2 linked regions of the Cricetulus griseus genome follow. The protein of the gene in region 1 purifies or fractionates together with the protein of each later gene. This does not show direct contact. Links are inferred from orthologs where the notes say so. Each region holds a gene or a part of one and is shown on either strand. Other genes may lie near its edges.

Region 1 (2,393 bases):
GACAGGAGTGCTACACCAGCTACTGATGGCAGAGCTACACCAGCTACAGAAGAGAGCGCAGTGCCCACCACCCAAAGCAGTGCCATGCCAGCTGCAAAGGCAGCTGCCACCCCTGAGCCGGCTGTGGCCCAGCCGGACAGCACAGCCCTAGAGGGTGCCACAGGCCAGGCTCCTCCCTCTAGTAAAGGAGAAGAGGCTACTGGCTGTGCCCAGGAGTCTCAGGGGGAGAAGATGAGCTGAATGGGCAGCCCAGTGGGGGTTTTGAGGGATGGGAAGGAGGGTGGGAGTGTGGATGAGGGGCTTCTCATTGTATATAGAGTCACTGGCATGATGCCCTAGCTCCCCCCAAGCTCCCTCATCCCAGTGGGGCATGCCTGGGGGCCATGGGAGAGCAGTCTTGTCTCCTGTGTGGATGTGTGTGAGTGGTGGGTAGGCCAGAGGCAGGGCCAGCCCCAGCCCCTGCATGGATTCCTTGTGGCTTTTCTGTCTTTCGCTCGCTTCACCACTTTCTGTTCCTTGTGGGATACTGCTCTAGGGATACTCAGGGGGTCCTTGCTCTCCTTCTCCTTCCCTTCCTGCCTCATCATTTCCCCAGGCAGGCCCTGCAAGTCTCACACTTCCCCTGGCCCTAAATTGGGTGGCCTTGCCCTGAGAGCTGGTCCTCCAGCGAGGCCCTATCAGCAGTGTTAGGCTCCTGCACATGAAGGTGTGTACCTGTGGTGTGTGGGTTGCTCTAGGAGTAGATGCTGGCTGCTAGAGAGGATGCAGAATCTAGGGCAGTGTGCTTTAAGTCAAGTCTGGTCACATGATTGGGGGCACTGCACATTAGCTGTGGGGATCCTCAGAAGTGGGGGAGAGAATTGATAGAAGAGTAGAAGCTTCCGTCTTTTCCCATGGGTAGGCCTTCTGAAGATCCTTGTGTTGTTTCTTGCCCTCCCTAGTCCTGTAGTGGGTTACTCTGTATCCTGGTTCTTATGAAACTCTAAAGAAAAGGAGAAACAATTAGGATGTAGCAGTGGGACCTAGGAGAACAGAGTACAGGACCAGTACCAGGGCCCCAACCTGTCTGGGTCTTTATTCTGAGATAGATAGGGAGGGCTGGTGTTCCCATGGTCTTCCTAGATGCCACTACCACAGGAAGAGATCTTACCCATGGCCACCTCTTTCAGGCTCAGGCCATAAATCCTCTGGCCCTAAATACTCCTCCCAGGGAGGCATGGCAGTACCTCATAGGCTGCTTGAGAGTTTGCTTTTTTACAGTGGCAGATTTTCTGCTCTTCAGCAACATGGAGAGGATTTTCCTCTATTTCTGCTATCACAGGCTGAGGTATCGCTCAGCCATGTTAAGTTGCTCTTCTGGGATGAGGAAGTAGAATAAGATTCCCAGTCTCTGGAAGGATGCTCTTGGCAGGTGCCCTTGGTCCGACCCTGTCACAGCCTGAAAAGGCAGCCACACGCTGGTCCTTGCCCTAGCTCGGCACTCCATGGTGGTCCTGCCCTTCTCCCTGCATGCCTGTGGGTCTGCTCTGGTATGTGAAGGTTGGTGGGCTAACTGTGTGCCTGCTGAACCTGGCAAATAAACGTCACCCTGCAAAGCCTCTGGCCACCCTCTTGCCTTTGCTTCCTCTGTCCTATTGGGGAGGAACCCATGGAAGGCAGTGGGGGAGGAGAGGCTGATGCTCAGTGCATTGCTTAGGGTGAGAGTGAAGGTCACCTTCTCCAGTATGTACCTGGATGATGTTGATGGGGGACCCTCTGGACTCTAGGAAACCATGTGAGTGATGTGCTTCAGCCAAGAACTATCCCCTGAGCTGAGCACTTGAAGGACTGACGATTTTCCAGCTTTTGTTGACTTTGTCTTAACTTGGACATAGAGATGGAATTGACTCAGAGCCAACCACTACAGGGAGAGACCTCGCTCATGGCCACAGTGGGTCTCTTTGGGCTGGGGAGAGGCTAGGATTGCACAAAAGTTCTGTGCTGTATGTTGATGCCTGCTTCCTGTGAATACCTGTGCTTTCCACTTAGACCAAAAAGATTTCACTGTCTTCCCCAGCTGGAGCAGATCTGCTTTAAATATGGAGTCCTGTATGTTTCTTCTGGGGGAGTAATACTAACTATATCATAAAAATCCCTAAGGAGACTTGCTTCAGCTCAGATGGGCTTTGGTGAACTCACCTGGGTTGCCTTCTCAGGGAGATCCTTAAATTATCTGATGTGGGAATAATAAAGAGGGTTTGTTATTTCCTGGTCTTCGAAGCATCTATGCCTCCAAAATCAGTTTCCTACAGCCCTGGGCACGAGGAACCCTGGGAGGTAAGAGCTAAATTACTGGCCCTAGTATCCACCTAATTTCAAGAATTATTAGATCATATCTGAATAAAGCCAAGGCT
Region 2 (3,657 bases), on another chromosome or scaffold:
ACACAAGGGGCAGCTACTCCAGAATCTGTTACCTGTGAACACCAGTCACGCTCTCTTCCACAATGCCTCGGATCTTCTTAAACACGTTTGGATACTTCTTATAAACCCAGTGGGTTAAGTCTCCCCCATCATCCAGGATCTACAGAACAGCCAGAAGACTTCTATGGGCATTCAGGCTGCTAGAGCTAGGGGGAACTTTGAGTCCACTTTCTACACTAATGAGAAAGCCCTGTATGCTTTGGAAGAGCACTTCTTAAAGCTCCACAGAGTAGGCTTAGACAGTGGAAATATAGTTAAATCTGTTGGTGTAAAGTGGTTAAAAGAATTCCTAAATGTGTTCTAGGCTACAGTAGAAAGCTTTTTTTTTTTTTTTTTTTTTTTTTTTTTAAAGATTAGCTCTTGTTATGTTGCTCAGGCTGGTCTAAAACTCCTGAGCAAGTACTCCTGCTTCAGCCTCTCAAATGCTGGGATTACAGGCATGCACAACCATGCCCAGCTACAGTAAACAAATTTTACAAATCATGGACTCATTTTTAGCCTGGTTGAAATATATAGCTCCTTTGAATGCAAAAGGAGAGCTGGAGTAGGAAGGAAAGAAATAAGACTCCTACTCCAAAGAGGGGCCTCATCCCTTCCTTCTGTTTACTTTGATGTGATTTGAGACATGTGTCCACTTAAGCTAACCCTTCCCCCACCTTTCCATTGAGTATTCAGAGCGCTTTTTCCTTTCTTCCTTTCTTTCTTTCTTTTTCATTTATTTATTTTTTACATTTTTTGGTGTTGGAGATTGAATCCAGGGCCTTGTGCATCTCAGACCCATACCAAGTAGGTATTGTGTTATAAACACTTTAGCAATAGAGTCAATAAATAAGACCAAACATACAAAAATATACTTAGGGAACCATGCTTTAAGGGAGAAAAGGAAATAAATCCATAGTCAAAAGTATTGAATGGCATGAATTATTACCATGTTAGCTTGCCACCCATCCATGTTGACACAGCGGTCAATGCACCACCAGAAATCATCTTCTGACTCGCCCTTCCAAGCGAACACTGCAACTCCTATGGAGACAGAAATAAATCAACTAATTTTCCTTTGAGGTGTCCCTTAACATGAGCACCATTTTCTGAGATCCATGTGATGAACGGAAGGCAAAACAAACAAGTCTGAAGAGGGAAACTTAAAGAGTAAAAAGTAAAAGCCAAATTAGTACTTTTATTTCAGAAATTGAGAAATTAAGAGATTTTTGTTTGAGAAGTATCTTGAAGCCAGAAAGGCCAATTTTACACTTTATACTGCATCTTAAGGAGGTAAAATGAAATATGTATAACAAAGCTCCTTCTACAGCACTGGACATCAGCAGACATCTCAAAATAATTTAAATGTTCAATTCTAGGACAATGAGGAAGTAAACTTACTTCTGAAAATGCAATGTTTAGGTTATAAAAATGCATACATACTAAGATTTGGTTCACCAATATAATGCACAGGGAAACAGCTTGTCAAATCTTTGGTTACTCTGAATTTCCTAAATCTTCTATAAACACTTATCAGAAAAGAATTAGACAAAATTCTATATATAGTGTGAATTTCTAAAGATCCTAGGAAGGTGGAAGGTTCTCAAACTTCATAGCGATGTTCTTCTGAATATTTTAACAACAAAAATTTATTTTATTTTTAATTAATTAAACTTATCAGCACATACATTTTACTGTACTACTGAATACCAAATAAACAATTAACTATCAATATAAAAGACATTGTTTACAGTGTTCTCTCAAAACTGATAAAACTTTTGGGGAGAAAAAGACACCACTGAACTCACAGTTCAGTATTTTTTCTCTCATCAATTTAACATTAGAATTGGGCATTTCCGTGTGTGTGTGTGTGTGTGTGTGTGTGTGTGTGTGTGTGTGTGTGTGTGTGTGTGTGTGTGTGTGTGTGTGTGTATGTGTGTGTGATACCTTGATTTTAGCATAAATTTCTTCCTGTTCTCCTCACCCCTCTGGTGGTGCTGGGATGGAATTCACTTCTGTGCTGGATGCCAGGGAAATAGTCCATCACTGAGCTTCATATCCAGCTGTGCTGTTTTAAGACTGCCCAAATTTATAGTTCCCAGACATAAATGGCATAATGACAATTCTGGCATATATTTAATTACCTGAGGCAAAGCTGGTAGGAAAAAAGTAGAACTTACCAGCTTCAGCCAGTGCTGCAGCTACTTCATTCTGAGTTGAATAGATGTTGCAAGCAGACCAGCGGCACTGGGCCCCCAGGGCACAAAGTGTCTCAATCAATACCTATATGGATATACAGAAAGACAGGGTGAGGAAGAGTGGGGCTACCCAGGTGCAGGGGACAAAAACCTCAGCAAGAACATAGTATCTATAACTTCACAGCAATTGGCCCTACACTGGAGAGTTATACAAAGGTATAATTCAGCTGTGTGGCACAAAGTTACCTAACTATATATGAAAGACATGCTCCTAAAAGTCTTAAAACATTTTTATAATAATCATTTTACATCCTCCTCAGGCAGATGTGCTAAAAATGGGTTTAGTATATGAACAAAAGCAAAACATGCTACACCATTGTTTGAACAGGGGGTTCTATTCTATCTAACAGCAATTGGACTGGCTAGGTAGGAAGGAAAGGCATGTTTATTTTTAATAAAAAAAATGTTTTCTTCCCTTTTTTTTTTATTAGAAGTCCCTCTGTTTTCTTCCGACAAACTCACCGCTGTCTGGGCCGTGATGTGGGTACAGCCCACTATTTTAGCACCAGCCAAAGGCTTCTCTCCCTGAGCACGTTTCCTGAGTGAAATCAGAGCAGACATGTCTGTGGAAGAACAAAGGATCTGAGCCAGGTCCACACTATCAACACCATTCGATCCTGCCCAGCCACAGTCAGGGTTGGGTCTGCTGAGACATGGTGAGATGTGGTAGAACATGCCAAATGTACTTTCCTGATGACTAGAGGCTTCTCCAATGGCGTAACTGGAGAGTTATAATGTAAGCAATTGGCAGGTCTTGTTTCTGCTATATATACACAAAGGTCTGATCGGAGAATGAACCAAACTTTCAAAACTGGTCAAAGTAGATACAGTGAATCTCCCTAATCATAAAGAGGAGAGGGAAGCAGTTATGGACAGACTTCCGTATGTCCTCATCAAACCAGGAGGAATGACTGACTTCACTGGAAGACACTTGCAGCTATTTTTATCTGCTGTCTTACCCTAGCCAGTCAAGCTTGCCATATGGAACACACCTTCAATATAAAGAAACAGGAACAGAGACCCTTGGGAGTAGTGTAGTAGACTAGAGAAACTAAGATTCAGTTGGTTGTCACTCCCCTTTATTTTGTTCCAGTAGAGGATGCCTGGGACTTAAGGAGACCCAAGGCTTAGCTTAGAACCCTGCCACATCAGCTACTTCTGGGAAATCTGGCTCTCTGGTATTGGCAGCTACAAAAAATATCCCATATAAATAACCACTATGTTGTGATCCAACACTTGCTGACTACTCCCTGTAGACCTGTGAATAGGGTGTCATGATGAGGAAAACAGAAACCACTCTGTAATTACCATACACTGGGAAAAGAAAAAGGGAAAACAAACACAAGTATCCTAAAGCTCAGTTTCCACATAGGGAGAAGTG

What was found.
Region 2: the proteins of Camkv (region 1) and Ahcyl1 purify together in Homo sapiens (affinity purification with mass spectrometry; 3 studies listed by BioGRID and IntAct, counting the BioPlex papers as one, with this or other methods). This does not show direct contact. The link is inferred for Cricetulus griseus from reciprocal best matches to the Homo sapiens genes CAMKV and AHCYL1.

Annotation. Positions count from the first base shown.
Region 1 is NC_048597.1:216,135,868-216,138,260, forward strand, and holds the end of Camkv (caM kinase-like vesicle-associated protein), read left to right. Parts: coding exon 1-240; 3' UTR 241-2,226; downstream 2,227-2,393. UniProt on the Homo sapiens protein: Does not appear to have detectable kinase activity.
Region 2 is NW_023276806.1:49,489,205-49,492,861, reverse strand, and holds part of Ahcyl1 (S-adenosylhomocysteine hydrolase-like protein 1), read right to left. Parts: intron 2,840-3,657; coding exon 2,739-2,839; intron 2,302-2,738; coding exon 2,199-2,301; intron 1,063-2,198; coding exon 968-1,062; intron 140-967; coding exon 33-139; intron 1-32. UniProt on the Homo sapiens protein: Multifaceted cellular regulator which coordinates several essential cellular functions including regulation of epithelial HCO3(-) and fluid secretion, mRNA processing and DNA replication.